2 linked regions of the Macaca mulatta genome follow. The protein of the gene in region 2 purifies or fractionates together with the protein of the main gene of each other region. This does not show direct contact. Links are inferred from orthologs where the notes say so. Each region holds a gene or a part of one and is shown on either strand. Other genes may lie near its edges.

Region 1 (3,653 bases), on a different chromosome or scaffold from region 2:
AGGGGACAGGACAGAGGGATGGTAGAGGGAACATGACAGAGGGATGGTAGAGGGAACATGACAGAGGGATGGTAGAGGGAACATGACAGAGGGATGGTAGAGGGGAACATGACAGAGGGATGGTAGAGGGAACATGACAGAGGGATGGTAGAGGGGAACATGACAGAGGGATGGTAGAAGGAACATGGCCGAGGGATGGTAGAGGGAACATGGCCGAGGGATGGTAGAGGGAACATGGCCGAGGGATGGTAGAGGGGAACATGGCTGAGGGATGGTAGAGCACTCTTCTAGGCCGGGCCGCTCTCACTTGTCGGGTCCTTACAGGTGCTGTCAGTTTGTGTTGAGGAAGATAATATTGTGAATTATGCAACCAACGTGCTTCAGAATCCAGACCTTAGTCTGCGTTTGGCCATTCGTAGTAACCTGGCTGGGGCAGAGAAGTTGTTTGCGAGAAAATTCAGTACCCTCTTTGCACAGGGCAGCTATGCTGAAGCCGCCAAAGTTGCAGCATCTGCACCAAAGGTGATAAACCTTGAATACTGTTCAAGTGTTCTGAGTGTTAAGAACCAACCTTGAGAGGAAAATAAGTCATAAAAGCATTTCACTACTGGTATTGCAGTCTATTCGTGTTATGTTAGGAGTTTTTAGTTTAAAATTTTTGCACCAATGGCTTAACAGTAAGGGAAGTAAACAAAAAGCACACTCTTGCTGCATCAGCACTTCTTCCTGTCTCCCACTTTGTGTGCATACATACCTCTCATCCAATGGCTTGGGTACAGTTTCACATTTTCGCAACTCAGAATTTTCCACTCTTGCTGCCTGGTTGTCAAATATGCAACTGTACAATACACCAAGTGGTTGATCCCTGTTTTATTTAGCAATAGTCCTGCTCTGGACTTCCTCCACTCTTTCAGAATATAGCATTTCTGCATAAGGCTTTTTCTTTAGTTTATTTCATTTGGATAAATTGTTCAGAGACTGGATCTGCTCCTGAGTAGATAAAGACTTTCAAGTTGCTGGTCCTTGAAAGAATTTTTCTTGTCTTTCAAGGGGTGGTTATGAACAAACCATTTCTAGCCTTCATCTGTGAATGTGAGTATTTTGAATTAGAATATAATGATAGCAGAACTTCACTACTACAAGACTGATTGAGAGGCTGAATTCTCACTGCAGCATGCTGGGGGAGAAGTAAGGCCCTAAGTGTGAAGCCACCTGGAGGACCTAGATCCCCCATATTTATGGTTCTTATTGAAGATAGAAGCGGTTGCCTTAGTAGAGGACATTTTGTCCATGACAGAGCAGTGTGGAATTTCCACTGGCAGATTTTTGTTTTTACATAGAAGCAAGTTGAGTGAAGGGATCCCCCGTGATTACAACACAATGACCTATTTTTCCATTTATTACTAGGGAATCCTGCGTACCAGAGAGACGGTCCAGAAATTCCAGAGTATACCCGCTCAGCCTGGCCAGGCTTCTCCATTGCTGCAGTACTTTGGAATCCTGCTCGACCAGGGTCAGCTCAATAAACTTGAATCCCTAGAACTTTGCCATCTGGTTCTTCAGCAGGGGCGTAAGCAACTCCTAGAGAAGTGGCTGAAAGAAGATAAGGTAGAAACACTTGTGAGATGGTAGCCCCCCGCACAGCTTGGTCCAGGCTCCCTGCCCACCTCCTAACTTTGCCTTGTCCCTTGGCGTACCACAGCTGGAGTGCTCAGAGGAGCTCGGAGACTTGGTCAAAACCACTGACCCCATGCTCGCTCTGAGTGTGTACCTTCGGGCAAACGTGCCAAGCAAAGTGATCCAGTGTTTTGCAGAAACAGGCCAATTCCAGAAAATTGTGCTCTATGCCAAAAAGGTAACGTGTGTTGAACCATCTGCATCCCACTCAACATGTGGTTGAGTGGTTGCTGATTTAAAGTTTATAAAATACCCTTCTTTATAAGTCCTCTGGTGTGAGAGTTGGCAGTGTTGCTATTAGGATCTTTATTGATATTGATCATATTGCATTTTCTTCAGTTTTTTATTTTCCTTAGTTTTCCAGTCCTTCCATCTTCTTTTTATTTGGGAGCTTTATCTTGTTTTTTCTCTCCCTCTCTTCCTTCTGTATGTTAATTTGATATTTTGGCAGACTTCCAGATCTTGTCCCTGTGTGCTCACTGGCAGGCTGTGTTTGCACACAGATCAGGGAACTTATTTGTGGTCTGGGCTGTTTGTATAGTTAATTGTGCCTTCCATGGACATGAAATCAATTTATTTAATTGGATATTGTGTTTGGCAGAAGGTGGTACCTACAAATGATAATGTTGCTGCTCATTTCTTTGTTAACATGAGTTTAAAACAAAGGATAGATAACTTCCTTTTCTAATGCCCAGGGTTTTTCATTGATTTTCCTGATTGGTGCTCCCTTGCTTCTAGGTTGGGTACACCCCAGACTGGATCTTTCTGCTGAGGGGTGTAATGAAGATCAGTCCAGAACAGGGCCTGCAGTTTTCTCAAATGCTAGTGCAGGACGAGGAGCCACTGGCTGACATTAACCAGGTGAGCATAGGCAGTTTTGGACAACTTTTTGTGGCTTTTTAGAGCCATCTAGAAGATTCCTTTATTCATTTCCTGTTAACTTGTCTCAATGCTTTTCTTCATCTGCTATTAATCTTCCAGTTTTAAAAAATCTAGTGTACTTGGGGAGTTTGTCTTCTAGTCTTTACTATGTGAGTACTCATTGCTTCTTTTGTTTTGAAGTACTTTAGAGAATGTTTGCGTGGGTTTGTGTCTTTGGGTGGTGATGGTGTAGGGTGTGAGGATGTCATTTAGGATCCAGCCCTCCATCCCTCTCCCCACCCCAGTTACCACATCATTGTCTCTCCCTGACCATTGGCCTGAGCACCAGGAGCTAGTGCTGTTGCATCCCCGAAATGTTCATCCTGTGGGTGTCTGACTGACCTGGATCTACGTGAGCATCAGCCTGTTTTTTAGTGTAACCTACTTAGAATTTAGATGTAAACACATGACAAGTCACTTTCAGTCAATTGGTACAAGGAGCTCTGATGATATATAGATGTGTAACAAAGCTTGAAGCAAGGCATCAGGGCCAACAACTGTTTAGAAATAATAAGTGCAGTTATATGTGTTTATATGTCTGGGAATTTGCAGATATTTTGGAGAACATGAATAAGAGATTTGAGACAAATTTACTTAGCTTTCAATAGGAAAGAAATTTCCAGTTCACATCTTGTTTCTAGTTCATATTTTAAAGTTGTTTAAAATATAAACTTCTCATACTTTATGAGAACTTCTACAATTACTAAGTTCTTTTTTATTTTCCTGTAAAGCTGTCCTTCAAAAACAATTACTAAATTTATTCCTATATTTCACATCTTAGTGAGGCATATTAATTATTTAAATTAACATCAATTTAACTTTAATAATTGTCTAAGTAAATGTTTGCATTTTCCCAGTTGTGCCCCAATAATATAATGATATATATGGGTTAAATATCAAGTATCAGCTGCTTTGTTAGTCAAGATTCTGCAGAGACAGAATCAGTAGCGTAGCTCTAGCTATATGAGAGGGAGCCTGGGCAACATAATGAGACCCCATCTCTACCAAAAAATTTTTAAAACTTAGCCAGGCGTGGTGGTGCACACCTGTGGTCC
Region 2 (3,753 bases):
AGCTATAATCGTGCCACTACACTCTAACCTGGGCAAGAGTAAGATCCTGCCTCAAAACAAAAAACAAATACCAACAACAAAAACTCATGCAAATAGACAGCAATAAATAAATACATTAATTTAATTAAATAAAACAATTTTTAAAAAAACCTCAAAAAACCAGTAACATCAAAAGGTTCTCAAGGTGTTACCAATTAAATTGAAAGTTCCAGCTGGGCTTGGTGGCTCACACCTGTAATCCCAGTGCTTTGGGAGACCAAGGCAGGAGGATCCCTTGAGGCCAGCAGTTCAAGACCAGCCCAGTTAATATAGCGAGGCTCTGTCTCTAAATAAAAAAATTAAAAAGAAAAAAACAAAAAAACCTGGAAGTTCCCTTCACCCCAACTCCACTTCTACCCCCAGTGTGGGGGCACGTCTTTCCTTTCTCTCTTCCAGTCCATATTTCATAGTAGCCCTTCAAGTCCCACATTAGAAATAGCAGACAGCCCAAATCCCATGGTGTTTCTTTGCATCGTCTCCCTGTACCCCGTGTTTAAATGTCACAGCGCCTCACACACAGAGCCTTGACATACCATTTGCCGTCTGTTGGTCTCACTGGATTGTAATTTCCGCATGGCCATGGCTGGATTTTATAAAACGTTGCTGTCCTGGTGCTTGGCAAAGCGCAGGCAGGGAGGAGGCATTCAGAGCCTGTTCACGGAGGGCAGCGGGCAGCGGCGGAGAGTGGCAGGGTGTCTGGATAAACCAGGTCTGCCTTTCTCGGGCTAGTTCATACCTAAAGGACATTTAAGGGGTCCAGCCGGGCCATTCAAACTCTGGTCGTATGAACTGAAGCCTCCTCAAGGGACATACACACAAAAAATGCACAAAACAACACGGCCTAGTGGGAAAGGACCTGGACTTGCATGAAAAGGTGCGGGGGAGCCTTTCCCAGCCTCAATTTTCCTCCTCTTACAGAGGCGGAGGCTCATAGAATGAGGTGCATGACACCCCAGCTTAGGAGAAGAAACTTTTGCAGAATGAATCAGGAGCCAGGTCTGCGCTCCCGAGGCCAGAGCTGGCCTCCTGTCGCGGCCCAGTGCACAGAACGGCCACTTTGTGCCCTGCGCTTCGCCTTCAGACCGGGCGGGAGCTGTGCCTCGCCGCGGTGTCCTGGACACGAGCAGCTGGGCGCCGCTGCGGAGAGAGGGAAGCGCCGCGCGGGTCCCGGGCCCAGCGCTGCGCCCAGTCCTTAGGCGCCCTCCTGCGGCCGCTGCTCGGCGACCTCCCGGCCCTGCGGCTGCGGCCCCGCCCCCGCGCTGACGTCACCGCATTCCGGCTCCGCTCCTCCCGCCGCGGCGCCCGCACCGCAGTGACAGCCAGCCGGGCCCGGTGGCGGAGAGGAAGTGCGGTCCGCGCCAAGCTCGTCCCCGCCGAAGCCGGCTCCCCGCGGCTCGGGTGACAGCGTCGCGGCCGCCGGACGCAGCGCGGGGCAGGCGCGGGCAGAGCCGAGCGCAGCGGAGGCTCCGGCAGAGGCGCGGGGAAAATGGCTGATGACTTTGGCTTCTTCTCGTCGTCGGAGAGCGGGGCCCCGGAGGCGGCGGAGGAGGACCCGGCGGCCGCCTTCCTGGCCCAGCAGGAGAGCGAGATTGCAGGCATAGAGAACGACGAGGGCTTCGGGGCATCTGCCGGCAGCCATGCGGCCCCCGCGCAGCTGGGCCCCACGAGTGGGGGTGAGTCAGCGCGGGGCCTGGAGCGGGGCTCAGGGCGCGCACCCGGGGGACCCCGGCCGGGGCCCAGCGGCACAGGGTAGAGAGCCTGCTCTAGGCCAGCCGGGGCAGGAGCTGGGGGACGTGGGGAAGAATCTTCTTGGAGCTCTCCATGTAGCACTTCCGAGCTGGGGATGAGGCCTCCCCTGGGGCTGTGGATCCGGTGACTCCCGGGACAGGAATTCGGTCATGACATTTCATCCCCAGGCCAGCTTCCCCGCTGCCCGGCTCTGGAATCCAACCCCAGCTCAGTTTTGAGAGTCCCTCCTGAGCCTTCTAATAGCCTGGCTGTCCCAGGCTCCCAGCTAAGTGTGCAGGTGTGGGCAGAACACAGCCCTCCTGGCCCCTCAGGCTTAGCTCTCTCCTGCAGCTGGGAAAAAAGAGGACCCTGGGTGCTCCAGGAAGTCACTAACCTTCCCCCGTGACCACCTGCCATTCGGCAGTCGCTGGGCTAAGCGCCTTGGTTACATTTAATCACTTCATACACGTTACTGAACCCATTTCAGAGATGGTAAAACTGAGACTCAAAGGGGTATGCTATTGAAATAACTAATAAGTGGCAGATCAAGAATTTAAACCTGATTCTTTTTATTTTTTATATATTTTTTCTTTTCCTTTTTTTGAGATAGGGTCTTGTTGTGTTGCCCAGGCTGGTCTTGAACTCCTGGGCTCAAGCGATCCTCCCACATCTTCCTCCTAAAGTGTTGGGATTACAGGTGTAAGCCACCACACCTGGCCGTGAATTTAAACCTGTTTCTGTCAGACTCGAAGCCCTCTCCACCTGACCACACTGCCTTCCAAGTGTCTGGCTCTGAGTTAGACACCGGAGTGTGGGCCGCAAAGAGGCATCAGTCAGATGTGGTAGGGCCCTTCAGGGTTTTGTAGTTGTCGACTTAATGGTTTTCCAAACGTGGTCCGGAGCTATCATGATTTACTGTGATTGGCTTCAGACTTCAGAGTTCATGCCTGGTCCCTGAGAGATCATCTTTATCAATGATGTTCCTGCCCTGGTTCTGGCTAGCAAGAATGATTTTGTGAAATATTTAGTAAAAAAGTAGATATCAGCCGGGCGCGGTGGCTCTCACCTGTAATCCCAGCAGTTTGGGAGTCCAAGGCGGGTGGATCATGAGGTCAGGAGATCGAGACCGTCCTGCCTAACACAGTGAAACCCCATCTCTACTGAAAATACAAAAAATTAGCTGGGCGTGGTGGCAGGTGCTTGTAGTCCCAGCTACTTGGGAGGCTGAGGCAGGAGAATGGCGTGAACCCGGGAGGCAGAACTTGCAGTGAGCTGAGATCGCGCCACTGCACTCCAGCCTGGGTGACAGAGCGAGACTCCGTCTCAAGAAACAACAACAAAAAAAGTAGACATCACTTTCATGGGTGCATCCAAAACAGGTTTTACTTCCTGTTAATGTCATTTTGGAGTGGTTTATGGACCTGTTGTAATAGTGCTGACATATATACATATAGATATATTTTGGTTAATGGTGTTTACAAGGCTCTTCACAGTCATGTGTGTATTCATTCAACATTTGCTGAGCACCTACTGTGTGCCAGGACACTAGGGATACAGAAATGAATAAGACAGTTCCTGTGGCTGAGGAGTTTGAAGCATCTCTGTATCTCCTTGATATGAGAAATGTAACCAGGCTTTTGTAACATGCAAGAAACTGGTGGCCCAGAGAATCTGAGTATCTTGCCCAGAGTCACACAGCCAGGAGTGACCGATCTAGGGCTTGATCCCACACCTCCCAACTCTGGGCTCCATTCTCTTTCAAATGCTGTGGAGCCTGGGCAACATGGTGAAACCCCATCTCTACAAAACATACGAAAATTAGCCAGGCGTGGTGACATGTAGCTGTAGTTGTAGTTCCAGCTACTCGGGAAGGCTGAGCCAGGAGCATCGCTTGAGTCCGTGAGGTGTAGGTAGGTTGCAGTGTGCTGTGATCATGCCACTGCACTCCAGCCTGGGCAACAGTGAGACCCTGTCTTTAAAAAAAAT

The links. The genes of interacting proteins can lie anywhere in the genome.
Region 1: the proteins of CLTB (region 2) and CLTCL1 purify together in Homo sapiens (affinity purification with mass spectrometry; 3 studies listed by BioGRID and IntAct, with this or other methods). This does not show direct contact. The link is inferred for Macaca mulatta from reciprocal best matches to the Homo sapiens genes CLTB and CLTCL1.

Annotation. Positions count from the first base shown.
Region 1 is NC_133415.1:33,472,718-33,476,370, forward strand, and holds part of CLTCL1 (clathrin heavy chain 2), read left to right. Parts: intron 1-324; coding exon 325-522; intron 523-1,407; coding exon 1,408-1,608; intron 1,609-1,702; coding exon 1,703-1,855; intron 1,856-2,415; coding exon 2,416-2,538; intron 2,539-3,653. UniProt on the Homo sapiens protein: Clathrin is the major protein of the polyhedral coat of coated pits and vesicles. Two different adapter protein complexes link the clathrin lattice either to the plasma membrane or to the trans-Golgi network.
Region 2 is NC_133411.1:185,349,457-185,353,209, reverse strand, and holds the start of CLTB (clathrin light chain B), read left to right. Parts: upstream 1-1,350; 5' UTR 1,351-1,525; coding exon 1,526-1,712; intron 1,713-3,753. UniProt on the Homo sapiens protein: Clathrin is the major protein of the polyhedral coat of coated pits and vesicles.